Stegostoma tigrinum: one gene and its partners. The protein of the gene in region 3 interacts with the protein of the main gene of each other region in a pairwise test. Links are inferred from orthologs where the notes say so. Each region holds a gene or a part of one and is shown on either strand. Other genes may lie near its edges.

Region 1 (10,899 bases), on a different chromosome or scaffold from region 3:
CACTGTGCCCCAGTGGTATACAGTGACAGACCTGTCCCTCACCGGTACTGTACCCCAGTGTTATACAGTGACAGACCTGTCCCCCACCGGTACTATACACCAGTGTTATACAGTGACAGACCTGTCCCCACCAGCACTGTAGCCCAGTGTTACACAGTGACAGACCTGATCCCCGCTGGTACTGAACCCCAGTATTATACAGAGACAGACCTGTCCTTACCGGCACTGTACCCCAGTGTTATACAGAGACAGACCTGTCCCCACCGGTACTGTACACCAGTGTTATACAGAGACAGACCTGTCCCCCCCAGTACTGTACCCCAGTGTTATACAGGGACAGACCTGTCCCCACCGGCACTGTACCCCAGTGTTATACAGAGACATACCCATGCCCCCCGTGTTATACAGCAACAGACCTGTCCCCACCGGTACTGAACCCCAGTGTTATACAGCGACAAACCTGTCCCCACCAGTACTGTACCCCAGTGTTATACAGTGACAGACCTGTCCCCACCAGTACTGTACCCCAGTGTTATACAGTGACAGACCTGTCCCCACCGGTACTGTACCCCAGTGTTATACAACAACAGACCTGTCCCCCACCTGTACTGTACCCCAGTGTTATACAACAACAGACCTGTCCCCCACCGGTATTGTACCCTGGTGTTATACAGTGACAGACCTGCCCCCCCACCAGTACTGTACCCCAGTGTTATACAGGGACAGACCTGCCCCCCACCAGTACTATACCCCAGTGTTATACAGGGACAGACCTGCCCCCCACCAGTACTGTACCCCAGTGTTATGTAATGACAGACCTGTCCCCCCCAGTACTGTACCCCAGTGTTATACAGGGACAGACCTGTCCCCACCGGTACTGTACTCCACTGTTATACAGCAACAAACCTGTCCCCCACCGGTACTGTACCCCAGTGTTATACAGTGTCAGACCTGTCCCCCACCAGTACTGTACCCCAGTGTTATACAGAGACAGACCTGTCCCCACCGGTACTGTACCCCAGTGTTATACAGTGACAGGCCTGCCCCCACCGGTACTGTACCCCAGTGTTTTACAGTGACAGGCCTGCCCACACCGGTACTGTACCCCAGTGTTATACAGTGACAGGCCTGCCCCAACCGGTACTGTACCCCAGCGTTATACAACAACAGACCTGTCCCCCACCTGTACTGTACCCCAGTGTTATACAGAGACAGATCTGTCCCAACCTGTACTGTACCCCAGTGTTATACAGTGACCGACCTGTCCCCCACCGGTACTGTACACCAGTGTTATACAGAGACAGACCCATCCCCACAAGTACTGTACCCCAGTGTTACACAGTGACAGACCCATCCCCCACCGGTACTGTACCCCACTGTCATACAGTGACAGACCTGTCCCCACCGGTACTGTACCCCAGTGTTATACAGTGACAGACCTGTCCCCACTGGTACTGTATCCCAGTGTTATACAGGGACTGACCTGTCCCCACCGGTACTGTACCCCAGTGTTATACAGTGACAGACCTGTCCCCACTGGTACTGTATCCCAGTGTTATACAGGGACTGACCTGTCCCCACCGGTACTGTACCCCAGTGTTATACAGTGACAGGCCTGTCCCCACCGGTACTGTACCCCAGTGTTATACAGTGACAGACCGGTCCCCACCGGTACTGTACCCCAGTGTTATACAGTGACAGACCTGTCCCCACCGGTACTGTACCCCAGTGTTATACAGTGACAGGCCTCACCCCACCGCTACTGTACCCCAGTGTTATACAGGGACTGTCCTGTCCCCACCGGTACTGTACCCCAGTGTTATACAGTGACAGACCTGTCCCCACCGATACTGTACACCAGTTTATACAGGGACAGATCTGTCCCCACTGGTACTGTACCCCAGTGTTACACAGAGTCCGACCTGTCCCAACTGGTACTGTACCCCACTGTTAAACAGGGACAGACCCATCCCCACCGGTACGGTGCCCCAGTGTTATACAGAGACAGGTCGATCTCCCACCAGTACTGTACCCCAGTGTTGTACAGTGACAGACCGGTGCCCCACCAGCACTGTACCCCAGTGTTCCACAGAGACAGACCCGTGCCCCACCAGCACTGTGCCCCAGTGTTATACAGTGACAGACCTGTCCCTCACCGGTACTGTACCCCAGAGTTATACAGTGACAGACCTGTCCCCCACCAGTACTGGACTCCAGCGTTATACAACAACAGACCTGTCCCCCACCTGTACTGTAACCCAGTGTTATACAGAGACAGACCTGTCCCCCACCGGTAATGTCCCCCAGTGTTATACAGTGACAGACCTGCCCCCCACCAGTACTGCACCCCAGTGTTATACAGTGACAGACCCATCCCCCACCGGTACTGTACCCCAGTGTCATACCGTGACAGACCTGTCCCCACAGGTACTGTACCCCAGTGTTATACAGGGACAGATCTGTCCCCCAGTACTGTACCCCAGTGTTATATAAAGACAGACCTGTCCCCCCCCAGTACTGTACCCCACTGTTATACAGGGACAGACCTGTCCCCACCAGTACTGTACCCCAGTGTTATACAGCAACAAACCTGTCCCCCACCGGTACTGTACCCCAGTGTTATACAGTGTCAGACCTGTCCCCCCACCAGTACTGTACCCCAGTGTTATACAGAGACAGACCTGTCCCAACCTGTACTGTACCCCAGTGTTATACAGTGACCGACCTGTCCCCCACCGGTACTGTACACCAGTGTTATACAGAGACAGACCCATCCCCACAAGTACTGTACCCCAGTGTTACAGTGACAGACCCATCCCCCACTGGTACTGTACCCCACTGTCATACAGTGACAGACCTGTCCCCACAGGTACTGTACCCCAGTGTTATACAGGGACAGATCTGTCCCCCAGTGTTATACAGGGACAGATCTGTCCCCCAGTACTGTACACCAGTGTTATACAGGGACAGACCTGCCCCCCACCAGTACTGTACCCCAGTGTTATACAGTGACAGACCTGCCCCCCACCAGTACTGTACCCCAGTGTTATACAGTAACAAACCTGTCCCCACCAGCACTGTACCCCAGTGTTATACAGTGACAGACCTGATCCCCACCGGTACTGAATCCCAGTGTTATACAGAGACAGACCTGTCCCCACTGGTACTGTACCCCAGTTTATACAGAGACAGACCTGTCCCCACCAGTATTGTACCCCAGTGTTATACAGTGACAGACCTGTCCCCCCCAGTACTGTACCCCAGTGTTACACAGTGACAGACCTGTCCCCACCGGTACTGTATCCCAGTGTTATACAGCGACAGACCTGTCCCCCACCAGTACTGTACCCCAGTGTTATACAGTGTCAGACCTGTCCCCACCGGTACTGTACCCCAGTGTTATACAGTGACAGACCTGTCCCCACCGGTACTGTACCCCAGTGTTATACAGCGACAGACCTGTCCCCCACCAGTACTGTACCCCAGTGTTATACAGTGTCAGACCTGTCCCCACCGGTACTGTATCCCAGTGCTATACAGCGACAGACCTGTCCCCCACCAGTACTGTACCCCAGTGTTATACAGTGTCAGACCCATCCCCACCTGTACTGTACCCCAGTGTTATACAGAGACAGACCTGTCCCCACCGGTACTGTACCCCAGTGTTATACAGAGACAGACCCATCCCCACCAGTACTGTACCCCAGTGTTATACAGTGTCAGACCCATCCCCACCGGTACTGTACCCCAGTGTTATACAGAGACAGACCTGTCCCCACCGGTACTGTACCCCAGTGTTATACAGTGTCAGACCTGTCCCCACCAGTACTGTACCCCAGTGTTATACAGTGTCAGACCCATCCCCACCTGTACTGTACCCCAGTGTTATACAGTGACAGACCTGTCCCCACCTGTACTGTACCCCAGTGCTATACAGTGACAGACCTGTCCCCCCCAGCATTGTTCCCCGGTGTTATAGTGACAGACCATCCCAATGAGTGTTGTAAAATCTTATCTCTGGTGTACTTTAACAGTTGTATAACATATTACAGGCTGTATTACAGAAATGGCGCTTTGAAGTTTAACGGAAATTTAGTTTCAAACCTTGTTTCGACAGTCCTCAGAGGCTCCTTGAGCAAATGGCGGCGCACATGCGTATTTCTCTCCGTGCACCGGAAGTGGGGCGGGGTCAGGGATCACCAAGGCCGTTGCTGGGAAACGAATGCCCCCCCTCCCACCGCGTCAGAACTAGCTGGAAGGTCGGAGACACGGGGTGGTCGAGGAGAGTGAGGCCTGTAACAGCGATGTGCCACAAGGGTCAGGGCTGGGCCCAATGGGCTCATGGGCCAGCCCTGCAGCCTCACAGCGCCAAGAACCCAGGTCCAATTCCAGCCTCGGGTAACTGTCTGTGTGGAGTTTGCACATTCTCCCCGTGTCAGCCTCCAGGGATGTGCAGGCGAGGTGATTTGGCCATCCTAAATCGCCCATAGTGTGGAGGGAAGTGTGAGTTATATGGGGATGGGATGCTCTCGTGGTCAGTGTGGACTTGTTGGGCCGAAGGGCCTGTTTGACACTGTAGGGATGATATGGATAACATATTGTTACAAGTTAGTGGCTGGATAGAGATCTGGGAAATGGAGAATAATGTATGGAAAATGGAAAATTGTCAATTTTGAGAAAAATGTAAGAGTGACAGATTGCAAAGCTGTGAAATTTGGAGGGAAGCAATTCAGATATTTTAGGTTAATGTAGATTGGGAATGCAATAGATGCCTTACTTGGAAGGGTGTATAGGTTCGTCATGTATCTCCTGGAGTCTGGAAGAGTTAAAGCTAATTTGAGTGAAATATATATCAATGGTCTTGATGGGTTGGATGAGGAGATAATTCGTCTTGTAGGAGAATCTAGAACTAAGGGGTACTGATAGATAAACAGGGAGCTGGAAGAACACAGCAGGCTATGCAACATCTGGAGGCAAGGAGTAATTAATTCCCCTTCAGGACTGGATTTGGGGTAAGGGAATTGGCAGATAAAGGGGAAGTGCGGAATGGTGGGGACACTGGTGAAAGGTACGACTCATTGATCGATGGGAGGGATGAATTCGGTTGGTGGCTAGAAGGAAGGGTCACAAGGTGGAATGGAAGGAAGGTGGTGGAGCTGGAACAGGAGCCAGAGGATGGGTGGGAAGGTTATTTGAAATTAGAGAACTTAATGTTGAGTCCTCCAGGCTGTAGGGTGCCTGGGCAGAAGATAAGGCATTAGTCTTCAAATTTGCATTCCAATAGTAAGTAACCCTTATCCTTCTGAATAAACACTGACTCTATAGTTACACAGCAAGTGACCCTTACCCTGAATAAATAGTGACCCTTAGTTATACAGTGAATGATCATTACTGTGTTGAATGTGATGTTTGACAGTCTTAGATTTGAGTTTTGATGATGAAAGAAACAGATGTCAGGATAGTTTGATTACGCACTTTATTTGTTTACTCAGAGAAAGACATCTACAATTTTTCACTCAACTTTTAAAAGGCTTATATAGGATTGGATGATTAACAGTTTATCAGTTTTAGTCAAAATTAGAATCTCGCAATCTGAAGCTAAGTCCTTATATATGTTCTGCCCCATATAAATATTGTAGATTCTGTATGCATGAAATAGTTAGTATAATCAAATACACTACTCAGAGATCGTACATATTGTGTATATACTACACATATTCTGTCTAAAGCACACATTCTGCCTCCATGTATCCCGCATACACATCATGTACACAACTGCTTATACACTAAGTATAGTCTGTGTATGTACTGTACTCAATATGTCTTGGTTATAAATTGCAGAATTTAATGAATCTTCAATATGTTAACAAATTTCAGTTTATTGTACACAAATATCAAAGTCCTCTAGTGATTCTATAGTAATTATTAATTCTAATTATTTGTCCTAGGAATAAATACCATAATAATTTCTGATCTAAACAATTTTAAGAGTTTTTACATAAAGTTTGATGATTGTGTGCAGGCTGACTCAGTGTTCATTGGTCCAGGGTCTGATGGGGATGCCAATTTCTGGTGACTGCTTTATTTAGAGCCCATGTAAATTTATGACTTAAGGAGGGGGCCACATTTTATGAAGGCAGACATAATTGTGATTCCCGTGTATTTGGGAGTTGCACGTGGGGACCCTATGGAATTCCCACTGTGGCAGATTCTGAAAGAATTACGCTGGAAATTGGAGATTCCGCTGGGCAACTCCCTGATGCAGGAACTGTTTGAAAGTATCCATTTAAATTAGAGAGTTCAAAGGGTTCCAATGAAAATAAGTAAATAATTACTCAGGAAAAGTTAGACTATCAAACGTATAGTATTACTCCTAACTATTTATTCGACTCCATACTTATCTCTTCAGACCCGTTACAATCCCAGTCTCTGACCTGATGCTCCACCCCACTTCAGACCTGATTAATCTGTCAGACCAGATTTCTCTCACCCACCCCAAACCACTCTAAACCTGCATCACTTACTTGGTCTCCTTGCCACCTTGCATCCCGTCCTCCAACATCCTACCCTATAACCCCCTGGCACTCTATCCTCACAAATATCACTTGACTGCAGCTGTCAAAATGGCTGTCTGTGATGCTGGATCTTTTAAGAATACAGCCACTGAATGCTGTGAAAATGGAGCATTGTCTGCCTTTCCCTGAAAGTTCACAACTATGAATGGAAGTTCGGCTCCTAATTCCTGAGGGAGCCCTCACCGTCAGAAATGTAGAGTTCTCGTTTTTCATAAAAAATGGGCAAAATGGCAATCTGTGTTTTATAAAATCAGATTTATAGAATTGGGATATTGGTGAGATGATCAAGTAGTTGAGAAAACTGGGTTTTGGGGATCAGCTTTGGTTTGTTTTGGAGTTATTTATTTTGAGAAAAGCCAAATTCTTAGTGTTCAAATTGAGAGTCTTTGGCTTGGAACATGACAAGAGTTCGTAATTCCAAACTGCCAGTCATTTTAACAATATTGTTAAATGTGAGCAGATTAAGAAAACAAATATTTCTCCTTTGCCACTGGAAGCAACAAAATGCAAACGATTCCCAGAAGCACTGAGCTCCAGGTAAACCAATACTGTCCGTAACACCAGTGAGGGACAGGAGTTAGTTTACTCTGACAAGTTGTGCAGAGCTCCAACGTGATATCACAGGAAGACAGGAATATGGAGATAAAATACAGAGAGAGATGCTAAGCATGTTGCCAAGTCATTATTAAACCAATATTATAGTTCCAATCTAAATTCCACAGCTGGGGTCACTGGCCAGTGATCAGGAGCAGGATCTCTGCCTGATTTCCCTTCTCTCTCTCACCCAGAATTCACTGAATACTGATAAGGAGCAGGATGCTGGTTGGCCTTTACCCATTCACACAGTAACCTCCTGTCTACCTGATGTGACTTGATAAACTTAGTGAAACACTGACAAAGGGCAAGGTGAACTTTACAGGTCATGATTTATTTGAGAAGGTGAGACCAGGGTGATGTGGTCACTTGCAGAAATCAGACACTCAATTAAATCTGTTTATTTTACAGTCAGATTAGCAGAACCGTTCCCTCTGATCCCTGTCAATCAATTTGAGTTGCTGAACTCCAATTCCTCATGCTCCATAAAACAAAACTGCACTCTGACAGAGCATACAATACATTGAGCTCTCTTAATGAAAATGTACAGCTCAGTAATCAAACTTTAACACCCATCTAATGCTAAGTAAATCTATGTTCTCCACCGCTTACTAAATCTACTAGTCTGCTGCCACCCATAAACAAGATTACAGAACCTTTGGGGATTAATGACTAAACCATAGCACAAACATCATGACCAGCTGTGTGAATCATTAAAAACACAGTAAGCATAAGCTGACACTGAGTACCAGTAATCAGCGATATTTGACCCTAGATAAAGTAGCACATCATTGTCTTGTTAACAAGATTGTAGCCAGTGCTTTAAAGAAATATTAGCAGCACGGACAAGAAACTGGCTAAAACTCAGAAAGTAGATAAATGCAGTGAGTGGGTGTTTCTTAGACTGGGAGCAAGTTGTTTTTTTATTTATTCACAGGATGTAGGCTGAGTATACTCTGGTGTTCCCCAAGGATGGGTGTTGGGCTCACTGCTTTTTTGATACATATTCATGGCCAGCACCTGGGAATACAGAGTATAATTTCATATTTTGCAGATAAAACAAAACTCAAGGTTCCCCATGGCAGGCTGATGGAGAAAGTGAAGTTGCATGGGGTCCAGGGTGTACTAGCTAGATGCAAAAACAACTGGCTGGGCAACAGGAGACAGAGAGTAGCAGTAGAAGGGAGTTTCTCAAAATGGAGAACTGTGACCAGTGGTGTTCCACAAGGATCGGTGTTGGGACCGCTGTTGTTTGTGATATACATAAATGATCTGGAGGAAGGTATAGATGGTCTGATTAGCAAGTTTGCAGATGACACTAAGATTGGTGGAATAGCAGATAGTGAAGGGGGTTGTGAGAGAATGCAGTAGAATATAGATAGATTGGAGGGTTGGGCGAAGAAGTGGCAGATGGAGTTCAATCCAGGCAAATGCGAAATGATGTATTTTGGAAGATCCAATTCAAGAGCAAACTATACGATAAATGAGGAAAATTGATGCACATCTGGGTGTTCAGTTCCATTGTACCCTGAAGGTGGCAATGCAGGTGGATAGAGTGGTCAAGAAGGCATATGGCATGCTTTCATTCATCGGACAGGGTAATGAGTACAAGAGTTGGTAGGTCATGTTACAGTTGTATAGGACTTTGGTTCAATCAGATTTGGAATACTGTGTACAGTTCTGGTTGCCACATTACCGAAAGGATGTGGATGCTTTGGAGAGGGTGCAGAGGAGGTACACCAGGATGTTGCTTGGTATGGCGGGCTCTAGCTATGAAGAGATGTTGAGTAGATTGGGATTATTTACATTAGAAAGACGGAGGTTGAGGGGGGACCTGATTGAGGTCTACAAAATCATGAGAGATATAGACAAGGTGGATAGCAAGAAGCTTTTTCCCTCAGAGTGGGAGGCTGAATTACTAGGGGTCATGATTTCAAGGTGAGAGGGGAAAAGTTTAAGGGAGATATGCTTGAAAAGTTCTTTATGCAGGGAGCGGTGGGTACCTGGAATGCACTGCCAGCGGAGGTGGTAGAGGCGGGCACGATAGCATCATTTAAGATGTATTTAGACAGATACATGAATGAGCAGGGAACAGAGGGATATAGATCCTTAAAAAATAGGTGACAAGTTTAGATAGAGGATCTGGATCAGCGCAGGCTTGGAGGGCCGAAGGGTCTGTTCCTGTGCTGTAACTTTCTTTGTTCAATTGCAATGAACAATGAAGTGGCTAATAATAGAGTTCAGGAGGATACGCTGTCAGGTAATGCAATATAGTACAGAAAAATGTTAAGACCATAAGACAAAAGGAGTGGAAGTATGGCCATTCGGCCCATCAAGCCCACTCCGCCATTTAAATCATGGCTGATGGACATTTCAACTCCACTTCCCTGCACTCTCCCCATAGCCCTTGATTCCTTGTGAGATCAAGAATTAGTCGATCTCTGCATTGAAGGCATCCAACGTCCCGGCCTCCACTGCACTCCGTGGCAATGAATTCCACAAGCCCGCCACACTCTGGCTGAAGAAATGCCATCTCATTTGAGTTTTAAATTTACCCCCTCTAATTTTAAGGCTGTGCCCACGGGTCCTATTCTCCCTGCCTAACGGAAACAACTTCCTAGCGTCCATCCCTTCTAAGCCATACATTATCTTGTAAGTTGCTATTAGATCTCCCCTCAACCTTCTAAACTCTAATGAGTACAATCCCAGGATCCTTAGCCGTTCATCATACGTTAACCTACCATTCCAGGGATCATCCGTGTGAATCTCCGCTGGACATGCTCCAGGGCTAGTATGTCCTTCCTGAGGTGTGGGGCCCAAAATTGGACACAGTATTCTAAATGGGGTCTAACTAGAGCTTTATAAAGTCTCAGAAGCACGTCGCTGCTTTTATATTCCAACCCTCTTGAGATAAATGACAACATTACACTCGCTTTCTTAATCATGGACTCAACCTCAAGTTAACTGTTGGGGATGTTTCCATCCCCAAGATCTGTGTCGTTTACTCACTGTAGACGGTTTTCTTTTTCTAAGGTTTGGGTTTCGAGTTTTTCACGCCGTTTCTGTCATGTTGCTTTCCCGGCCAAAAAGGCCACCTATTGATAAGCTCGCTTCTCATTGGCTGATGGACGCTTAAGTACGCTACTCCGCTTTTGATTGGTGGAGGTCATTCCTAATGTATAAATACAGACGAGTTGTGCCCATTTTGTGTCTTCGGACTGAGACAGTAAAAGCTCTTTTTCTAAAGGCTTCGTGTCCTCTCTTCCTGCGTCAGTAAGTTTGGGGTGCGACTCTAGCTAGGGACTGGGGCTTGTCTGCTATCATCTAGTGTCACCGTTCGCATTAGCTTGCGCCTAGTCATCCGCGTACAGTCAATCATACCTTGAGTCCGTAGCTACCGAGGTACCGTGAAACATAACAGATTGGTGACGAGGTGTTCGTAAAATGGACCTAGAAAAGTTGCAGTGATAATGGGAACTGCAGATGCTGGAGAATCCAAGATAATAAAATGTGAGGCTGGATGAACACAGCAGGCCCAGCAGCATCTCAGGAGCACAAAAACATCAGCTTTTGTGCTCCTGAGATGCTGCTGGGCCTGCTGTGTTCATCCAGCCTCATTTTATTATCCCAGAAAAGTTGCAGCTTCTACTCGAACAACAGTTAAAGTTGATGGAGATGCTCATGCAGACCAGGGTTCTGGCACCGGCAGCGTCTACTAGTATTCCGCCTT
Region 2 (10,998 bases), on a different chromosome or scaffold from region 3:
TACTGGAGAAGGAGCACGACTTGACCTACCCTTGGGAAATAAGGCAGGGCAAGTGACTGAGGGGTCAGTAGGGAGTATTTTCGGGCCAGTAATCATAAATCTATTAGTTTTAAGTTAATTATGGAAAACGATAGACCAATCTAAAAGTGAAAGTTCTAAATTGGAGTAAGGCCAATTTTGACGGTATTAGGCAAAAACTTGCAAAAGTTGATTGACAGAGGCTATTCACAGATAAAATGCAACCAAAATGCAACATCTCACATTTATCGAAATCAAATTCCATCTGCCAACCCTTGGCCCATCGAATCAAGGTCCCATTGCACTCTGAGGTAACCTTCTTCGCTGTCCACTACACCTCCAATTTTGGTGTCATCTGAAAGCTTACATGCCACTTCTCCTGTGTTCACACCCTAATCATTTATATAAATGATAAAAAGCAGTGGAGCCAGGACAATCCCCATGGAACACCACTGGTCACAAGTCTCCAGTCTGAAAAACAACCCTCTATCTCCTACCATCAAGTCAATTTTGAATCCAAATACATAGAAACATGGAAGATAGGAAAAGGAGAAGGTCTTTTGGCCCTTTGAGCCTGCTCCTCCATTCATCACGGTCATGGCTGATTGTCCAATTCAATACTGTAACCCTGCTTTCTCCCCATAACCTTTGATCCCGTTCACCCCTAAGTGCTCTATCTAGACACCTCTGGAATACATTCAATATTTTGGCATCAACTGCCTCCTGTGGTGATGAATTCCACAGACTCACCACTCTTTGGGTGAAAAAATGTCTCCTCATCTCCATCCTAAATGGTCTCCTCCAAATCCTCAGACTGTGACCCATGGTTCTGGACACAGCCACCATCGGGAACATCCCCCCCCCCTGCATCTACCCTGTCCAGTCCCGTTAGTCTCCATGAGACCCCGCCCTCCTCCTCATTTGTCTGAACTCTCTCAAAAACAATCCCAACGTAGTCAATATCTCCTCATATGTCAGTCCCACCATCCCCGGAATCAACCCGGTAAACCTTTGCTGCACTCCCTCGAGAGCAAAAGGGAGACCAAAGCTGCACATAATATTCTTGGTGTGGTCTCACCAAGGCCCTGTACAACTGCAACAACACATCCCTGCTCCTGTACTCAAAACCTCTCGCAATGAAGCCCAACATACCATTTGCCTTCTTTACCACCTGCTGCGCCTGCATGTGACTGGTGCACAAGGACACCCAGGTCCTGCTGCGCACTCCCCTCTCCCAATTTACAATCTAGCTCTCCCTGAATTCCATGTGATCTCTCCTTGCTAACCAATTTGCCATAAGGAATCTTGTCAAACACCTTGCTGAAAACGTAAGGACAATGTCCACCACTCTGCCTTCACCAATCCTCTTCGTCACTTCTTCAAAAAACTCAATCAAGTTAGTGAGACATAACTTCCCACACACAAAGCCATGTCAGCTATCTCTAACCAGTCCTTGCCTTTTCGAATACATATAACGCCTATCCCTCAGGATCTCCTCCAACAACTTGCACACCACTGAGGACAGGCTTATCAGTCTACAGTTTCCTGGATTTTCCTTACCAGCTTACTTAAATATATAGTACCCTGCTAGCCAACCTTCAGTCTTCCGGTACCTCACCTGTGGCTATAAATGATACAAGAATCTCAGTAAGGGGACCAGCAATCACTTTGCTCGCTTCCCACAAAGTTCAATGGGAGTAAACGATAGGTGGGGATAGAGCCCAAAGAGAGAAGAACAGTTGAACAGACAAAGGAGTAGATAACAGTCTGTCTGGGAGAATGAATATCTGCTAATGGGGAATATTAGTGGCTAACAATGGGTCATGTATAATCGCAGATCAAAGCCTTGGGTGTTGGGGTGGGGAAAGTATGGGGAAGGTGTTCAGTTCCTAAAGTTGTTGAACTCAATACTGAGTCCTGAGGCTGTAGCGTTCCCAAGTGGAAAACGGAGTGCTGTTCTTCTGGCTTGCACTGATCTTTGTTGAAGTACTTCAGCAAGCACTAGACAAAGAAGTTGGACAGGGAACGCAGTGGTGTGTGGAAATGGCAGGCAACTAGAAGCTCAGGATCTCAGGACAAAGAGGGCACGGTTAAGGTAGGTCAAGGGAGAGTGGGGCAGGGCAAGGCAAAGACGCTTTGTGCATTGAAGTAGACATGAGTAAGTGACTATTCAGAGAACTCTGAGATCCACGAGCTGATGCCTGTCTCTGTGACAATGCAGCATCTTTTCAATGAGAGGTTCCAGGGCAGTATTTACAGAACTATACTACATGTGGATCAAGATTTGCCATGATAGTGGCCAGTGTCTGTGGGCTTGGGGTGTGTGTGAAGCTGGTGGATGGCCAGAGGAGCACTCGTTGGGATGGGGGTTGCCCAGTAGCCACTCAGAATTTCATGTCAGGAATCCTTGATGTCTGGCTGCTATCTGCCATGTGGTAGAAAAGGGAGTTGCATATTAATGAGGTGAAATTTGGTGTTAATGAGACAGATACTGAACAGTAATTCCTGGTAATAGGCATTTCACCACTTGCTAGACAAAATCTTATCGCAATGTCTAGAACCAGTTGGGAGTTGCTCTGACGCTGAAAAAAGACTCATACGACTTCTCCCTACAACCCACATCATTCTGGAAATTCAATATTCCAGCTATCAATATTCCAGCTATTCAATATTCCAGCTTGAACCCCTCTTCCCTCCATCTCCTCAATTCACTCTTTCACCCTTTCCCCTGTCTCTACTCCTTCCTCTCTGTCCTTCTCTCCCTCTCCTCATCACCACACCCCTTTCCCACATCCCTCCTCCCCTGTTCTCTTCCCTCACTCCCTCCCTCTCTCCATTTCTGTTTGACTTTCTTGCTTTCTCCCTCTCCCTCTAGCCATTCCCCAATCCTCCTTCTCCCTCTCTCCTCCTCCTCCCCCACTTTCTGTCCCCTTTCCCCATTTCACCTCTCACTCTCTCTTCCCCCTTACCCACCTCTCTTCCTTTGCCCCCACCCACTCTCCCTTTCTCTTTTCCTCCCACACTTCTCACTCAGTGTCTCTCACTCCCCTCCCTCTCTTCTCCTCCTCGCAATCTCCCTCTCCCTCTCTCTCTCCATCTCTATCCACCTTTGTTCCCCACTCCCTTCAATCTGTTCTCCTGACTCTCTCTCAGCCTCCTCTCCCTCTTCCTCCATCTCACTTCTCTATCTTTCACTCCCCTCTCTCCCCCTTTCATCTCCCCTACTTCTTTCTCCATTTCTCCCTTTCCAATTCCTTTCTCTCCCTACCTCACACTTTCCTCTCCCCTTCTTCCCTCCCTCTCTTCCTTCCATTCTCTCCCTCTTCCCTGTTCCCAACTCACCTCTTCCCTTCCCCTCCCATTCCTCTCTCTCCCTCTCCTCTACCCCCACACACTCACCCTTTCCCCCTCACCCCCACCCCTGCCCTCTCTCTCCTCCTCTCCCTTACCTGTGCCTGCTGGTTGCCCTCACTCCGGGCTCCGCCTGGCTGCTGTGTTCCGCGGAGACTGCCGAGTACAGGGGGTATCTTTGGGGATAACTGACCGCCGCAGCCCGCACCAGGATCGACAGGAGGTAGAGAAACTGACAGAGAGCCCTGGCCATGCTCGCAGGCGCTCACCAAACTCTAGTCTCGACAGGGATTCTGGATCAACCGGGATCAACCAGCGCCTGGATCCCTCCCGGGATTCCAGCCACTTCCTGAGAAACTTCTCCAAACTTGGGAAACGTTCCTTTCGATCCTGTGTCGATTATTTCATTCAATGCTCCCTGAAACTTCTCTCCCTCTCTTTTCCCACACTCTGCTTCGTTCTTTGCCTGGGTTTTTTTCTCTGTCACCGTCTCTTTTTCTCTCTCTCCTGCTGCCTTTCCGAAGATTTTCCTCCCTCCCTCCCTCTCTATTTTTCACTCCCTGCTTTCTCTCTCTCGGGGACTCACATCTGGAGCTAATTAATCTCAGCCTCCGGAATGTAAAATATTGCTTCGCTGCCAAAAACCCTTTTTATTCTCGGAAAACCTGAACTCCTCCCATAAGGCTGTCCCAATCCACGGTAAGTACCCCCTTCTGCCTTAATCCTCTTCCCCCCTCTTTCTGATCTCCTGCCCTCTACCCACAACACTCACCCCGCTCCGATCTCTCTGCTGTCTCTCTCTCTCTTTTTCCTCCTGCAAATGCTCCCCCCAATCCTTCTCTCTTCACCCCCCCCCCCCCCGACCCCTTCCCTCCCCCTCTGCCCCTGTCACATTTCACTCCTCCCCCTTGCTAACACTATCCAGTGCCCCTAACATCAACAGACAAAGCTGTGCTTCAGGATATGCCGATGTTAGTGTATTTAATGTCTGAAGTGAGGAGATTCTGGGAAGTAATTCCAGAGTTTAGGGTTTGAACAGCGCAGATGAAGCATGCTGTCCCCCGGTAAAGATCAGAACCCTACCAGAGATGGGGTAAATTAAAACAAACAGCAGAAGAGGGAAGGGGCACAGAAGCCTCCCAGATTGGTAGGACATGGGGAAGTTGCAGAGCAGGTAAGGCCGCTGAGGGATTTGAAAGCAGAATGAGAATTTTAAAATGGAGGCACCAATGGACCTTGCTGTCTCAGCAGGTTCTGTGACCCTTGTCTGATTTCTATTTAAAGGATGACAAACTCCTTCTGCTGTTCTTATGTTTGTTTTGAAATCTCCACATGCTACATTTACTGGAAGCTGATTAAATCTTAGGGGTGTGATTGAAAAAGCCAAGGTTCGATTTCCAGCATCACACTTCAGCCTTGGCCAGTACTTTCATGATGAAGGGGGCCCCAGGGAAAGTTTATGGAGCTTTAATCTGTGACCAAGAGGAAGAACAGAGTCTGTATTGTAAGCACAGATAGCTAAGCCAGACAGACAGACATCCTGAGAAGCACATCAGGATTGACCGAAATGGAACTCCCATTGAGGAACAAAGCCTTCAGCTCAATGCTGGCACAGTTACACCTTCATTGTCTCTGTTACACTACTGTTCCACAATTCCTTTCGCAAGTCAATTTCTCCTGCCATTTATTTTCTTTTAGTTGTTAATTTATTGAGCATTTATTGTTGATCCCTAACTGCCAGTTGAATTGATTGGTTTGCTTGGGCCATTTCAGAGAACACAGTGTGGAAACAGACTCTCCCTCTACTTTCTGGAGAGACCACTCTCTTCGGGACTCCCTTGTCTGCTCCACACTCCCCTCCAACCCCACCACACCCGGCACTTTCCCCTGCAACCGCAGGAAGTGCTACACTTGCCCCCACACCTCCTCCCTCACCCCCATCCCAGGCCCAAAGAAGACTTTCCACATCAAGCAGATGTTCACCTGCACATCTGCCAATGTGGTGTACTGCATCCGCTGCTAGCAAAGTGTGGAGCGGATGAACACAGCAGGCCAAGCAGCATCTTAGCAGCACAAAAGCTGGCATTTTGGGCTAAGGATCTAGGCCTGAAACGACAGCTATTGTGCTCCTAAGATGCTGCTTGGCCTGCTGTGTTCATCCAGCTCCACACTTTGTTATCTCAGATTCTCCAGCATCTACAGTTCCCATTATCTCTCCACTGCATCCGCTGTACCCGTTGTGGCCTCCTCTACATCGGGGAAACCAAGCGGAGGCTTGGGGATCGCTTTGCAGAACACTTACGCTCAGTTCACAATAAACAACTGCACCTCCCAATCGTGAACCATTTCAAATTCCCCTCCCATTCCTTAGATGAGATGTCCATCCTGGGTCTCTTGCAGTGCCACAACGATGCCACCCGAAGGTTGCAGGAACAGCACCTCATATTCCGCTCGGAAACCTTGTAGCCCAATGGTATCAATGTGGACTTCACAAGCTTCAAAACCTCCCCTCCCTCCACTGCATCCCAAAACCAGCCCAGCTTGTCCCTGCCTCCCTAACCCGTTCTTCCTCACACCTATCCCCTCCTCCCACCTCAAGCCACACCTCCATTTCCTACCTACTAACCTCATCCCATCTCCTTGGCCTGTCCGTCCTCCCCGGACTGACCTATCCCCTCCCTACCTCCCCACCTATACTCACCTCTACAGGCTCCATCCCCGTCCCTTTAACTTGTCTGTCTCCTCTCCACCTATCTTCTCCTCTATCCATCTTCAATCTGCTTCCCCCTCTCTCCCTATTCATTTCAGAACCCTCTCCCCCTCCCCCTTTTCCGATGAAGGGTCCAGGCCCGAAACATCAGCTTTTGTGCTCCTAAGATGCTGCTTGGCCTGTTGTGTTCATCCAGCTCCACACTTTGTTATTTCAGTCCAACTCGTCCACATCGACCAAGTTTCCTAAACTGAACTAGTCCAACTTGTCTGCATTTGGTTCGTATCCCTCTACAGCTTTCGTAAAAATGTACCTGTCCAAATGTCTTTTCTAGATTGTATTGCGCCCACCTCTACCATTTCCTCTAACATTAAGGGTCTTCCACTCTGTTGTGGGTCTGGAGTCACATGTAGGCCAGACAGGGTGGCAGGATAGCAAATTTCCTTTCTTAAAGGACATTAGTGAACCAGATGGGTTTCTAAGAACAAAAAACAGCGGTGACATGATTTGTATGAGGCTACTTTTTATTGAATTCCCCAAAGCATTAGCCTGGGGTTCTGCATTACAAGCACAGTGACATTGCCACAATGCAGCTGCATCCCTACAGCTTCTTTTCCCCCCGCATTTAGAGGCCATCTCCCAATTCTTGCTTGATGCCCCCTATCCACTTCCACCCAGCACCTCAGCTGTTCATGGACATGTTAATGATTTAGATGAGGGAACTAGATGTAATATCTCAAAATTTGCAGATGCTACAAAGCTGGATGGTAGGATGAACTGTGAGGAGGATGCATAGATGTTGCAATGTGATTGGGACAAGCTGAATGAGTAGGCAAATGCAAGGCAGATATAGTTTAATGTAGATGAATGTGAGGTTATCCAATTTGATAGGACCGGAAGGCAGATTATTATGTGAATGACAGTAAGTGTGAGACAGGGAGAATGATCAGTGAGATCTGGAATAGAAATTATGGGAACTGCAGATGCTGGAGAACCCGAGATAACAAGGTGTAGAGCTGGATGAACACAGCAGGCCAAGCAGCATCAGCAGAGCAGGAAGGCTGATGTTTCGAGCCCAGGCCCTTCATCAAAAACAGATCTGGATGTCCTTGAGCACCAGTTGCTGAAAGTAAGTGCACAGGTGCAAAAGGCAGTGAAGAGGCCTTCATTGCACAAGGACTTGAATACAGAAACAAGTTTATCCTTGGAAACCCCAATACACTAAAGATATTCACCCTGTTTCTGATCCACACATAAACCAGATCTTCCAATGGCTATATTTGTTAGTCTTATGTGGATTCCATTCTCTACTCCCACTATCCATGTCATTTCACTCCACACAGGAATATAAAACTATAAAAAGAGGGAGCAGGTGTAGGCCATTTGGCCCACCCACTCTGCTGTATAATTCAATAAAGAGCATGGCTGATTTGGTTGTGGCATTCAGGAAATAATAAAAGGTACTTTTGCCCTTCCAATAATTATTGACCAAAAACATGTTTAACTCAGTTTTGAATATATTCAACAGTGTAGTCTCTGCTGCTGTCCGGGCAAGAGAATTCCAGATGTTAACAATTATCCAGAAGAAGTTCTTCATCATCTCTGTCTTAAATGGGAGTCTTTTCATCTCTAAACTGTACTGCCTCGTTCTAGATACCCCCACGAGATGAAAGATTTCCGTAGTCACCATCTCAATCCCATCAAGGCCCTTCAGAATCTAATATATTTCAATAAAATCACCCTTCATTCTTCCGAACTCTAATGAGCATTGTCCCAAAACAGCCAAATGAAGAGTATCCGAACTGCTCCCAATGCAAGAACATCCCTTCTGAAATAAGGAGACTCTAACTGTATAATTATACACCAGGGTCAGTCTCAGCAATACCCTGTATGGTTGTAGTAAGACTTCCTTTCTTTAACACTCCATTCCTCCCCACAAAAAACAGCTACATTCCATTTGTTTTGCTGTATCAGCAAGCTAATTGCTTTTTTGCAATTCATGTATAAGGACACCCTGATCCATCTTTAATGCAGTATTCTGCAGACTCTTATAAAAGTCATATTCTGCTTTTCTGTTGTATCTGCCAATCTTCACATTTTCCTACAATGTATTTGAAGTGGAAAACTTTTGTCCACTCTTACATCTATTTGCATCCCTGTGCAGACTCTGCATTGTGCATTTAATGATGTGGACATCACTAACATTTGTTACCCATTCTAGCTGTGAGAAAGTGGAGGTGAGCTGTGACAAAACAACTTGTCTCCTTATCATTAATACAGATTCTAAATACAGTAGTTAACAAGTCAGCACTGATCCCTGGGGCACTCCACTAATTAGTCTGCCAACTGAAAACTCCACTTATCTCAAAATAATAAAACGTGAGGCTGGATGAACACAGCAGGCCAAGCAGCATCTCAGGAGCACAAAAAGCTGACGTTTCGGGCCTGGAACCTTCATCAGAGAGGGGGATGGGGAGAGGGAACTGGAATAAATAGGGAGAGAGGGGGAGGCGGACTGAAGATGGAGAGTAAAGAAGATAGGTGGAGAGAGTATAGGTGGGGAGGTAGGGAGGGGATAGGTCAGTCCAGGGAAGACGGACAGGTCAAGGAGGTGGGATGAGGTTAGTAGGTAGATGGGGGTGCGGCTTGGGGTGGGAGGAAGGGATGGGTGAGAGGAAGAACCGGTTAGGGAGGCAGAGACAGGTTGGACTGGTTTTGGGATGCAGTGGGTGGGGGGGAAGAGCTGGGCTGGTTGTGTGGTGCAGTGGGGGGAGGGGACGAACTGGGCTGGTTTAGGGATGTAGTAGGGGAAGGGGAGATTTTGAAACTGGTGAAGTCCACATTGATACCATTAGGCTGCAGGGTTCCCAGGCGGAATATGAGTTGCTGTTCCTGCAACCTTCGGGTGGCATCATTGTGGCAGTGCAGGAGGCCCATGATGGACATGTCATCCAGAGAATGGGAGGGGGAGTGGAAATGGTTTGCGACTGGGAGGTGCAGTTGTTTGTTGCGAACTGAGCGGAGGTGTTCTGCAAAGCGGTCTCCAAGCCTCCGCTTGGTTTCCCCAATGTAGAGGAAGCCACACCGGGTACAGTGGATGCAGTATACCACATTGGCAGATGTGCAGGTGAACCTCTGCTTAATGTGGAATGTCATCTTGGGGCCTGGGATAGGGGTGAGGGAGGAGGTGTGGGGGCAAGTGTAGCATTTCCTGCGGTTGCAGGGGAAGGTGCCGGGTGTGGTGGGGTTGGAGGGCAGTGTGGAGCGAACAAGGGAGTCACGGAGAGAGTGGTCTCTCCGGAAAGCAGACAGGGGTGGGGATGGAAAAATGTCTTGGGTGGTGGGGTCGGATTGTAAATGGCGGAAGTGTTGGAGGATGATGCGTTGTATCCGGAGGTTGGTAGGGTGGTGTGTGAGAACGAGGGGGATCCTCTTTGGGCGGTTGTGGCGGGGGCGGGGTGTGAGGGATGTGTTGCGGGAAATACGGGAGACGCGGTCAAGGGCGTTCTCGATCACTGTGGGGGGAAAGTTGCGGTCCTTGAAGAACTTGGACATCTGGGATGTGCGGGAGTGGAATGTCTTATTGTGGGAGCAGATGCGGCGGAGGCGGAGAAATTGGGAATAGGGAATGGAATTTTTGCAGGAGGGTGGGTGGGAGGAGGTGTATTCTAGGTAGCTGTGGGAGTCGGTGGGCTTGAAATGGACATCACTTACAAGCTGGTTGCCTGAGATGGAGACTGAGAGGTCCAGGAAGGTGAGGGATGTGCTGGAGATGGCCCAGGTGAACTGAAGGTTGGGGTGGGAGGTGTTGGTGAAGTGGATGAACTGTTCGAGCTCCTCTGGGGAGCAAGAGGTGGCGCCGATACAGTCATCAATGTACCGGAGGAAGAGGTGGGGTTTGGGGCCTGTGTAGGTGCGATAGGGTTAGGGTTAGGCCATCTTCCGCACCTGCACAGGCCCCAAACCCCACCTCTTCCTCCGGTACATTGATGACTGTATCGGCGCCGCCTCTTGCTCCCCAGAGGAGCTCGAACAGTTCATCCACTTCACCAACACCTTCCACCCCAACCTTCAGTTCACCTGGGCCATCTCCAGCACATCCCTCACCTTCCTGGACCTCTCAGTCTCCATCTCAGGCAACCAGCTTGTAACTGATGTCCATTTCAAGCCCACCGACTCCCACAGCTACCTAGAATACACCTCCTCCCACCCACCCTCCTGCAAAAATTCCATTCCCTATTCCCAATTCTTCCGCCTCCGCCGCATCTGCTCCCACGATAAGACGTTCCACTCCCGCACATCCCAGATGTCCAAGTTCTTCAAGGACCGCAACTTTCCCCCCACAGTGATCGAGAACGTCCTTGACCGCGTCTCCCGTATTTCCCGCAACACATCCCTCACACCCCGCCCCCGCCACAACCGCCCTAAGAGGATCCCCCTCGTTCTCACACACCACCCCACCAACCTCCGGATACAACGCATCATCCTCCGACACTTCCGCCATTTACAATCCGACCCCACCACCCAAGACATTTTTCCATCCCCACCCCTGTCTGCTTTCCGGAGAGACCATTCTCTCCGTGACTCCCTTGTTCGCTCCACACTGCCCTCCAACCCCACCACACCCGGCACCTTCCACTGCAACCGCAGGAAATGCTACACTTGCCCCCACACCTCCTCCCTCACCCCTATCCCAGGCCCCAAGATGACATTCCACATTAAACAGAGGTTCACCTGCACATCTGCCAATGTGGTATACTGCATCCACTGTACCCGGTGTGGCTTCCTCTACATTGGGGAAACCAAGCGGAGGCTTGGAGACCGCTTTGCAGAACACCTCCGCTCAGTTCGCAACAAACAACTGCACCTCCCAGTCGCAAACCATTTCCACTCCCCCTCCCATTCTCTAGATGACATGT
Region 3 (11,479 bases):
CCCACCCACCAAACTATTCTTCATATCCACCCAAATTAATTCTACATCCTAACTTGCTGAATGTAGGTCATCTCTAACCATTGCTAATCTGCTATCCTTGTTTAAAATGCTATCTTCTCCATATTTACCTAGCCTCGTATTCTTCTTGAATGTAATATAGCCCACAATATTCAGGACAAAATGATGGTTTATATGTCATATTTATAAATTTCAGTGTGTGCTATCAATTTCTTTTTGATACAAATGCTACATACAAGATAAAGATGGAGGTATCAACCTGATGAAACCACCAACAGGACTACTTGCACACCAGACAGTGAAAGCAGCAAGTGATAGACAGAGCAAAGTGATCCCACAACCAATCGATCAGATCTAAGCTCTGCAGTCGTCCCACATCCAGTCATGAATGGTGCTGGACAATTAAACAACTCATTGGAGGAGGCGGCTCCACAAATTTCCGTATCCTCAATGATGGAAGAGCCGAGCACATCAGTGCAAAAGATAAGGAGCAAAAGAACCATTTGTAGCCATCTTCAGCCAGAAATGCTGAGTGGATGATCCATCTTGGCCTCCTCCAGTGATCCCCAGCATTACAAATATCAGTCTTCAACCAATTCAGTTCACGCCATGTGATATCAAGAAACGGTTACAGACACTGGATACTGCAAAGCCTATGGGCCCTGACGACATTCCAGCAATAGTACTGAAGACCTGTGGCTCCAGAACTTGCCGCTCCCCTAGCCAAGCTGTTCCAATACAGTTACAACACTGATATCTAGCCAACAATGTGGAAAATTGCCCAAGTACGTTCTGCACACAAAACGCAGGACAATTCCAACCTGGCCAGTTACCACCCCATTAGTCTACTCTCATTCACCAGTAAAGTGATGGAAGGTGTCATCAACAGTGCTATCAAGCAGCACCTGCTCAGAAATAACCTGCTCAGTGACACTCAGTTTGAGTTCTGCCGGGGCTACTCAGCTACTGACCTCTTTGCAGCCTTGGTTCAAACATGGACAAAAGAGCTGAATTCCAGAGGTGAGGTGAGAGTGACAGCCCCTGATATCAAGGCTGCATTTGACCAAGTGTGGCATCAAGGAGCTGTAGCGAAACTGGAATCAATGGGTATCAGGGGGCAAACTCTCCAGTGGTTAGAGTCATACCTGACACATAGGAAGATGGTCATGGTTGTTGGAGGTCAATTATCTTAGCTCCAGTACATCTCTGTAGGAGTTACCCAGGGTAATGTCCTCGGTCCAATCATCTTCAGCTGCTTCAATGACTTTCCCTCTATCATAATGTCAGAAATGGGGATGTTCACTAATGATTGCGCAATGTTCAGCACCATTCATGACTTCTCAGATACTGAAGCAGCTCAAATGCAACAAGATCCAGGCATTATCCAGGCTTGGGATGACAAGTGGCAAGTGACATTTGTGCCACACAAATGCCACACTATGACCATCACCAATAAGTGACAATCTTACCACCATCCTTTGATATTCAATGGTGTTACCGTCACTGAATCCCCCACTAGTCAACATCCTGGGGGTTATCAGTGACCGGAAACTCAACTGGACTAACCACATAAACATAGTGGCTACAAGAACAGGCCAGAAGCTAGGAATACTGCAGCAAGTAACTCACTTCCCGATTCCTCAAAACCTGTCCACCATCTACAAGGCACAACTCATGATTGTGATGGAATACTCCCCACTTGCCTGGATGAATGCAACCCCAACAACACTCAAGATGCTTGACACCATCCAGGACAAAGCAGCCTGCTTGACCGCACTACATCCACAAGCATCCACTCCCTCCACCACTGATGCTCAGTAGCAACAGCGTGTACAATCTACAAGATGAACTACATAAATTTATCAAAGATCCTCAGACAGCAACTTCCAAACCCACGACCACTTCCATCTAGAAGAACAAAGTCATCAGACATATGGGAACACCACCACCTCCAAGCCACTCAACATCCTGACTTAGAAAAATATTGCCATTTCTTCACCGTCACTGGGTCAAAATCCTGAAATTACCTCCCTAATAGCATTGTGAATCAACCCATAGCAAGAGGACTGTAGCAGTTCAAGAAGGTAGCTCACCACCACCTTCTCAAAGGAAATTAGGGATGGGCAAGAAATGCTGGCCAGTCAGCGATACCCACATCCCATCAGGGGCGGCACAGTGGTTAGCACTGCTACCTCAGTGCCTGGGAGCTGGGTTCAATTCCACCCTTGGGCAACTGTCTGTGTGGAATTTGCACATTCTTCCCGTGTCTGTGTGGGTTTCCTCTGGGTGCTCCGATTTCCTGCCACAGTCCAAAGATGTGCACGTTAGGTGGTTTGGCCATGCTAGATCACCATAGTGTTCAGGGATGTGTAGCTTAGGTGGATTATAGGGGGATGGGTCTGGGTGGGATGCTCCAAGGTTCGGTTTGGACTTGTTGGGCTGAAGGGCCTGTTTCCACACTGTAGGGATACTACGAAATGAATAGAGAAACAAAATACAATTAGATAGAACCTTTAGTTCTGACTTTTTATAGAACTTTGTAACATCTGTTGAGCCAAACGAATTTCACGAAGATACAAGCAGGCTGTACAGGGTTGATGGGCTATGAGCTTGGAGGCTGGGTGTGTGTGGAATCCCCAGATAAGATGAGATTAATAACCATTGTACAGTTAATAATTCAGCCTGATGTTTCCTGGTGGCACTGTAACCCACGGAAAATAGTTAGTGGTGTCTGGGAGATGGCATTCAGCCTCCACAATATATCAGTCAATAGACCAGACAACAGAAGCACCACCCTTATCAGCAGGAACAATTACAAAGTCAGGGTTGGGTCAAAGAGCGTGCAGTGCAGTCTGTTCAGAGGGATATAGGTTTGACTGGATGGGGGATTGAAGTAAAGGCAGCCAATGTCAGGCAAAAGCTCTCCCAAACAGGTCAAGTGCAAATTGGTAAAAGGCCATAGGAAGGGGTCCAAGTGGAGGCAGCGTATTGGAGGCAGGCCAAGAGATGTCTATTGGTCAGGGAGAGGACTCTTGTCCAAATGAATGGGCATGGAGGCAAAGAGAACAGCAGAAGAATTTAATGTCATGTTGTGCTATTGAAGTAGGGGCACAAAGGGGTAAAACGAAGTCCTTTCCTGAACACAGAACATTCAGAGAACAGAAGGTCAGAATGAATAGTAAATATCTGACAAGAGCTGGGATCAGGAGAAGGCAGCATCTCAGGAGCACAAAAGCTGACGTTTCGGGCCTAGAACCATCAGAGGGTTCTGCAGAACACCTCCGCTCGGTTCGCAATAAACAACTGCACCTCCCAGTCGCAAGCCATTTCCACTCCCCCTCCCATTCTTTAGATGACATGTCCATCCTGGGCCTACTGCAGTGCCACAATGATGCCACCCGAAGGTTGCAGGAACAGCAACTCATATTCCGCTTGGGAACCCTGCAGCCCAATGATATCAATGTGGACTTCACCAGCTTCAAAATCTCCCCCTTTCCCTCTGCATTCCAAAACCAGTCCAGCTCGTCCCCTCCCCCCCACTGCATCCCAAAACCAGCCCAGCTCATCCCCGCCTCCCTAACGCGTTCATCCTCTCACCTATCCGCTCCTCCCACCTCAAGCCGCACCTCCATTTCCCACCTACTAACCTCATCCTGCCTCCTTGACCTGTCCGTCCTCCCCGGGCTATCCCCACCTATCTTCTCCTCTATCCATCTTCGGTCCGCCTCCCCCTCTCCGATGAAGGCTGTAGGCCCGAAACGTCAGCTTTTGTGCTCCTGAGATGTTGCTTGGCCTGCTGTGTTCATCCAGCTTCACACTTTATTATCTTGGATTCTCCAGGATCTGCAGTTCCCATTATCTCTGATCGGGTGAAAGGCCTAATTTAAGTTAAGAGATAACAAGGCGTAGAGCTGGATGAACACAGCAGCCAAATAGCAGAGGAGCAGGAAGACTGACGTGGGCTTAGGTTAATGTAATACAAAAGGGTGCACTGTGAGAGATGTCATCTTTCAAATGAGTGTTTAAACTGATGCTCTGTTGGCCCTCTCAGTTCCAAACAAAAGATCCCATGGCATCATTTCGAAGGGCAAAGCTCTCAGTAATCCTTTCCGACGGTTACCTCTCAACCAACAATTTGCCAATCTGTGGGATCTTGCTATGTACAAAGCATTTTCCATGTTCCCCAGATAACTGCAGCTCCTAAACAAAGAAGTACTAAATTGGCCACCGAAAAATAAGTTTCGAAAAGTTCCGGACTGGTGAGAGGCTTTGTATAATGTACATGTTCTGTCTATCCTAGTTTTCTTTACCATCCTCCCGCAACCCCTCCATACCGTGACAGATATCCTGCTCCGCACCTACTTTCTATAAAGTCCTTGCACTCCTCCTTCAATTCTGTTGTACTTTGCGCCACCTCAGGGTCCAGGACCCTGAGTTTGTTGAGTTCGTCGAAGTGCAGGCCGGCCTCCCCGAGGGACTCCATCGCCATCAGAATCAACAATACCCTCTCGTCCCCTCTGCCGCTGCCACGGCGACAGCGACGGCTCTCTCCGCCCTGCTGCGCATGCGCGGTCACAGGGGGCGGGGCACCCACGGATGTCGCGCGTGCTCAGTATCAAAACTCACTCAGTCTCTCAAGGTAGTGTGGGTTTCTGCAACATTATTTTTGATCTTTCTTACCAGACAGATTCTGGAGAGCTGAAGAACTTTAGTTTGCCGTTTGTCCAGAGTATTGTATACAGAAGGATTTAAAAAGAAATCTCACTGCAACACAAAATAACGGTTGAAGCTAGCGAATCTTCGCTCTTTGTTGTTTTAAATGATCATTTATCGGCGAGCTCCAACCATCGGTGAGATGGCCTGGGCGACTGGACGGCACTTTAACTGAGCCATGAAAGTGCAATCCAGCGGCGGGAAATATATCTGCGCGCGTGCGCACTAAATCGGGAGCCGGCGTGTGGCTAGCGCGCGTGCGCAGTTAGACGAGTACGGACGGGATCGAAGTCACGTGTGAATGCCCTTGCGCCGGAAGAGAAGGAGGAGCGGAGGCGGTTTGAATGGTCGGCACGGCAACTGCTGCAGGTACTGGGCCTACTTCGGGGGTGGGGAGGGTTTTAACGAACGAATAAACAAACTCGCTTTGGACAGTGTTGTCAGAACAAAGTTCAGCAAAGCGGACTGAGCGATTGTCGATAAAGAGATGTCAGTGACCGCCTCAATGGAAGCGAGTTTAGGCTCCTCATGGCAGCTGGAAGAAGTGATCGTAGAGGATGGAACTCCCTCAAACTCGCCCCAAATCTGAGAGCTCTAAGTGAATTGTTTAAGCAGGCTAGGCCATTGGTTTAGGTTGAAGCTGGATATTTCCTAGGTTGCATCGGTTTCATCGAGTTTTCCCCTTTACCTCACCAATACTTTCTAAAAGACCACACTGTATTCGACAACAGAAATTTCTTCTCATGTTGGAAAGACCGAAGGAGCCTTCAGCTTTTGTTGCTTTCAGCCCCTTGGGTATCCATTCCACTCCTCTCCTCAGTAATTGTCTGACATTGAATCTGATCGTTTAAAACCTTTGTTTTGAAGCGAGTTTAGGCTCCTCATGGCAGCTGGAAGAAGTGATCGTAGAGGGTGGAACTCCCTCAAACTCGCCCCAAATTTGAGAGCTCTAAGTGAATTGTTTAAGCAGGCTATGCCATTGGTTTAGGTTGAAGCTGGATATTTCCTAGGTTGCATCGGTTTCATCGAGTTTTCCCCTTTACCTCACCAATACTTTCTAAAAGACCACACTGTATTCGACAACAGAAATTTCTTCTCATGTTGGAAAGACCGAAGGAGCCTTCAGCTTTTGTTGCTTTCAGCCCCTTGGGTATCCATTCCACTCCTCTCCTCAGTAATTGTCTGACATTGAATCTGATCGTTTAAAATCTTTGTATTGAATTTGACTTCAATATGAGTCCCAAACAAAGACTGCCTGTTTCCACCCCTGACTGTGGTTCAGCTCATCTGCTGAAACAAATGCATGTGTTTGCTACCTTTAGACACAGCTATTCCAATGTGTTTCAGCTTCTCGTGATTTACCCTTCAATACATGTATGTGCATCAATCCCCTTCAGTATCAACTCTGCTGACTTATCAACATTGGATCCAGTTAAGTAATACTTACATTTTGAAGTTTTCATCTTTGGTTTCAGATTTTGCCACAGCCTTGTCCCTCCTTATCTGATTTTGTTCTTATTTATTTAGTTTTATTTTATTTATTTTTGTCACATACCGAAACTGAAGAGAAGGTGCAGAGAATGATGAGCTCTAATATATGAGAGGTCCATTCATAAGTCGGATAACAGAAGGGAAGACCCTGTTCTTAAATTAGTTGTTACATGTTTTGAAACTTTTACATCTTCTGTTGATGGAAGAGGTGGGAGGGGTCTTAGATTATGTTGGCAGCTTTTCTGAGGCAGTGGGAATTCTAGAGCGAGTCAATGGAAGGAAAGCTGTTTTATGTGATGGTCTGGGGTCCGTTCACAACTGTGCAATTTCTTGTGGTCTTGGAAAGAGCCATACCAAGCTGTAATATGTAATATAGGATGCTTTCTATGGTGTATCTATAAAAATTGGTAAGAGCCATTGTGGACATGCTGAATTTCATTAACCTTCTGAGGAAGTAGAGGCATTAGAGTGCTTTCTTGACTATAGCATAGATATGAATGGATCAGGACAAGTTGATGATATTTACTTCTAGGATCTTGAAGTTCTCAACCATCTCCATCTCAGCACCATTGATACAGTCAGGGGCGTGTCCTCCACTCTGCTTCCTGAAGTCGATGGCCAGCTGTTTTATTTTGCTGACACAGAGAGAGATTGTTGTCTTTACACCATGCCACTAAACTCTCTATCTCTTTCCTGTGATAATAAGGTGTAGAGCTAGATGAACACAGCAGGCCAAGCAGCATCATCGGAGCAGGAAAGCTGACGTTTCGGGCCTAGACCCTTCAAATTCAGTTTAAGCTTAAATTTGTGAAGTACAAAAGAAACGGTAGTCAGCAGGAGAAGTGAAGCTAGGTTTTTTTTGGGCTTGGAAATGAGTATGTAACGGTTCAGATAAGGCACAGTTGATAAGTGAGAAAAGCATATTTAATGTCCATGCTAACATTGTTTGGCTCAAGATCTGCAGGTTATTCAAATGTAATGAAGCCTAAATTCTCAAAATTGCAAATATTCAGATAATAAAATGACGGTGAGCTGCAAAGAACTAGGTCGGCCCGAAATGTCAGCTTTCCTGCTCCTATGATGCTGCTTGGCCTGCTGTGTTCATCCAGCTGTATACCTTGTTATCTCAGATTCTCCAGCATCTGCAGTTCCTGCTATCTCTATCTCTTTACTGTACTCTGTCTTGTTTTTGTTTGAAATCTGACTGACATTGGTGGTGTCAACATGTAAATGGAGTTAGAGCTGAATTTGGCCACACAGTTGTGTGTGCGTAAGGCGTTTAATAAGAGGCTAAGCCTTGCAGAACAGTGGTGTTGAGTATTATCATCAAGGTCTTGACACCCATCTTCACTGATTGCAGGTCAGGAAGTCAAAGAACCAGTTGCAGTCAAGCGAGCAGAGTCCTAGGTCTCGGAGTTTAGAGATGAGTTTGGTTAAAATTATGGCGTTCAAGGTGGAGTTGAGGCCAATAAATAGTAAGTGTCCTTGTTATCTACATGTTTCAAGGATAAGTGTAGGAACACAAAAACGGCACCTGCAATGAACCTGATGCCACGTGCAATCTCCTCCAGCTTCTCCGACTCCCTGGATGCCTGTAATCTTCAAACTCTGGTCTCTCGGGTTTAGTTCCTCTATTGTTGGTGACTATATCTTACCCAGTCCAAGCCTCATTCCCTCCCTAAAGATTTCTGTTGTGTTATTTGTCTTTCTTCTTTTACTACACTTAAACCTACTGCTTTGACCAAGCTTTTGATCATCTGCCCTCAAATTCTTGTGGCTTGGTATCAGATTTTGTTTCTTGGCTCTGCTGTGAAATAAGTGCTTTGGAACATTTTACTATATTAAAATGGTATGTTATTATAAAGCAAGCATTTAGATTTACTGATTGGCCTTAAAGAAAGAAATCATTTTTAGTTTGAGTACCAAATTGCCTGCTATGGTAGGAAATTATCAAATAGTGAGATGGCTAGAGTAAAATACTTGGCTTTTATTTTGTTTTTGCTTTGTTTTTCTCAAATACAACGCAAATTTCCAAACTGAATTTCCAGTCTACTGTGGTTAGCAATGAACTCGATGTTATCTGTTGAGACACTTAATACTGCATTGATTTGATTTTGTTAATAATATTTCTCCCTCAATTAACTTTGTAACAACATTGACTGACATTCTGCTGAAACTGATCCATGTTGGAATGTATTTCTGCATTCTCAATACTACAATTTCTCCACTGTATTGACAGATTTTTTTCAGCTTAGATTTCATTTGACTTATCACACCTGTGATTTGTTCCATTGTTTGTTATCCTTGTGATACTATTGTCTCTTCAATAAAATATTGGATTTTATTGTTAACCCAACAGGTAGCACATTTTAAAGTACAATTGAAAGTGATGGTATTTCATTGTAGACTAAATGCTTAAATTCTCAAGTTTTGGACTGAAGTTTGAGAATCCTCTCTCATGAACCTACATTATGGAGATGGGTTTGGAAGTCTGCAGAGTATTTATTCTGTTCAAGAATGCAATTCATTTAGTGGGTGGTTTGGTATTTTAACACATTTGATTATGCCAAGAATGTAAAGTACTTTTTCTCATTAGAATTTTAAAACTTGCATACTGTCTTCTAGATAGTTAACATAATTGAATTTTAAGCAGCAGATGAGTGTGTAACTTTCAATTTACTCTTGAATGCTTCACTCCTAGTGCCTACTTGAACTCATTACTTTGGAAGTTTTTAACTTTGAACTTGGCCTGAGTTGTTACTCAGATGCATAATCATAATACAAAAATTAGCACAGCCCTTGGATGGCAATGATAGAGGTGACCAAAAGCTTAGTCAAAAATGTGGCTGAGGAAGGTGATGGGATGAATGGTTTTGCGAACGTGGAGATGAACTGACTGCTAGCAGATTTTCCAGTGCTACGTTCTATGGAGGGGTTGTACATTAATAGTATTTTAATTGAATTGTCAAGATATACAGTGAAACACATTGTTTATTTGTGTACTTGGAGCACTGCTGTCATATGTTTATTTAGTTTAATTTGGTTTGATCAAAATGGTATAGTGACTGCTGAGATACTGGATTTATAGGTCAAAAGCAGACATAACAGAATGCTACGTTTTGCAAATAACATATTATTTCAAAGTATCAGTGTCTAGTTTCATACTTCAGTTGATTTGGGATCTGAGTAAAACTGTAGAGCTGGGGGAGGCAAGAGGCAGGAAATGGGAATGCCGTAAATTCAATATTTGCAATTCCTGTAACTGTCACCAATAGGAGGTACCAAGAGTGGCAGGTATGAAGTGGGCATAATTTTGGACTATCGGGGAGGCAAAGGCAGTTTTCATGCTGCTATTGACATAAGTTCCAGCCAGAACTGATAAAGGCTCAGGTGCTAGAGCTAATAAAAGCGTAAAGGTTTTATCTTTCAGAATTCAAAATCTTGCCACTTGATGCCGTGGAGCTGTCAGGGACATCAGCAAGCACTGTTTGGATCAGGAAAAGGCAATGCAGTGGCTCGAGAATGTTAGGTGCTCTTACAGCACTGCTTCAAGTATAGGTTGCCCAACTCCTACACATGAATTATGACGTATACACAGGTTCCTCCTACAACTTACCCTGTTGTACCTAAGTGGTGTAACTAGCTGCATCTGTGCATGCATGGTGACCATATTGTGTTATGGATAATCACTCCAAAATTCATTGCCAATCATGCAATTTTATGATGTACTCTTTTAAGAAATCTGTGATCATTAATTATCAGAAACGTAAGTCCTCCAGAGCAGAAGAAAATAATTTCTCATCAGTTGTAAATAGCTGACCCCAAATACATCTGCCCCAGGGGACAAATCGACTTAACATCTACACTATCTACTTGAGAAGCTGATATATTTCATTAAATCACCCATCATTTTTTGGAAATTCCAGATGAAAGTTGGATGAACTTAATGCCTGAGGTTCTTTTGCCCACTGTGAACAAAAGAACAAAGAAAATTACACCACAGGAACAGGCCCTTCAGCCCTCCAAGCCTGTGCCGATCCAGATTCTCTATCTAAACCTGTCACCTATTTTCCAAGGATCTGTATCCCTCTGCTCCCTGCCCATTCATGTATCTGAGATAGTAGTTTGATAGAGATACATTCATGTATCTGCCTAGATACCTCTTAAATGATGCTATTGCGCCCACCTCTACCACCTTCACTGGCAATGTGTTCCAGGCACCCACCACCCTCTGCGTAAAGAACTTTCCACACATATGTCCCTTAAACTTTTTCCCTCACACCTTGAAATCATGACCCCTAGTAATTGAGTCCCCCACTCTAGGGAAAAAGCTTCTTGCTATCCACCCTGTCTATACCTCTCATGATTTTGTAGATCTTAATCAGGTCCCCCCTCAACCTCCATCTTTCTAATGTAAGTAATCTTAATTTACTCAACCTCTCTTTATAGCTAGCACCCTCCATACCAGGCAACATCCTGGTGAACCTCCTCTGCACCCTCTCCAAAGCTTCCACATCCTTTTGGTAATGTGACGACCAGAACTGTTCACAGTATTCCAAATGTGGTCGAACCAAAGTCCTATAGAACTGCAATATGACCTGTCACCTCTTATACTCAATAGCCCGTCCGATGAATGAAAGCATGCCGTATGCCGCATTGACCACTCTATCGACCTGCGTTGCCACCTTCAGGGTACAATGGACCTGTACACCCAGATATCTCTATGCATCAGTTTTCCCCAGGGCTTTTCCATTTACCATATCGTTCACTCTTGAATTGGATCTACCAAAATGCATCACCTCGTATTTGCCTGGATTGAACTCCATCTGCCATTTCTCTGAACAACTCTGCAATCTATCTATATTCTACTGCATTCTCCAACAGTCCCCCTAACTATCTGTTACTCCTCCAATTTTAGTGTCACCTGCAAATTTGCTAATCAGGCTATCTATACTTTCCTCCAGATCATTTATGTATATCACAAACAACAGTGGCCCCAACACAGATCCCTGTAAAACACCACTGGTCACAGTTCTCCATTTGGAGAAACTCCCTTCCGCTACAACTCCTTGTCTCCTGTTGCCCAGCCAATTCTCTGTCCATCAAGCTAGTACACCTTGGACCCCATATAACTTCAGTCTCTCCATCAGCCTATCACGGGGAACCTTATCAAATGCCTTACTGAAGTCCATGTATATGATATCTACAGCCCTACCCTCATTATAAAGATAAAAGAGAAGTATAACATAGCAAAGAT

What was found.
Region 1: the proteins of ift20 (region 3) and kxd1 interact in binary tests that used the Homo sapiens proteins (3 or more experiments, as listed by UniProt). The two-hybrid records come from large-scale screens. The link is inferred for Stegostoma tigrinum from reciprocal best matches to the Homo sapiens genes IFT20 and KXD1.
Region 2: the proteins of ift20 (region 3) and EMILIN-1-A-like interact in binary tests that used the Homo sapiens proteins (3 or more experiments, as listed by UniProt). The two-hybrid records come from large-scale screens. The link is inferred for Stegostoma tigrinum from reciprocal best matches to the Homo sapiens genes IFT20 and EMILIN1.

The regions. Positions count from the first base shown.
Region 1 is NC_081383.1:537,380-548,278, reverse strand, and holds the start of kxd1 (kxDL motif-containing protein 1), read right to left. Parts: upstream 4,169-10,899; 5' UTR 4,105-4,168; intron 1-4,104.
Region 2 is NC_081362.1:99,069,328-99,080,325, reverse strand, and holds the start of EMILIN-1-A-like, read right to left. Parts: upstream 4,169-10,998; 5' UTR 3,623-4,168; coding exon 3,468-3,622; intron 1-3,467. UniProt on the Homo sapiens protein: Involved in elastic and collagen fibers formation. It is required for EFEMP2 deposition into the extracellular matrix, and collagen network assembly and cross-linking via protein-lysine 6-oxidase/LOX activity.
Region 3 is NC_081380.1:36,804,949-36,816,427, reverse strand, and holds the start of ift20 (intraflagellar transport protein 20 homolog), read right to left. Parts: upstream 4,651-11,479; 5' UTR 4,508-4,650; coding exon 4,381-4,507; intron 1-4,380. UniProt on the Homo sapiens protein: Part of intraflagellar transport (IFT) particles involved in ciliary process assembly. May play a role in the trafficking of ciliary membrane proteins from the Golgi complex to the cilium.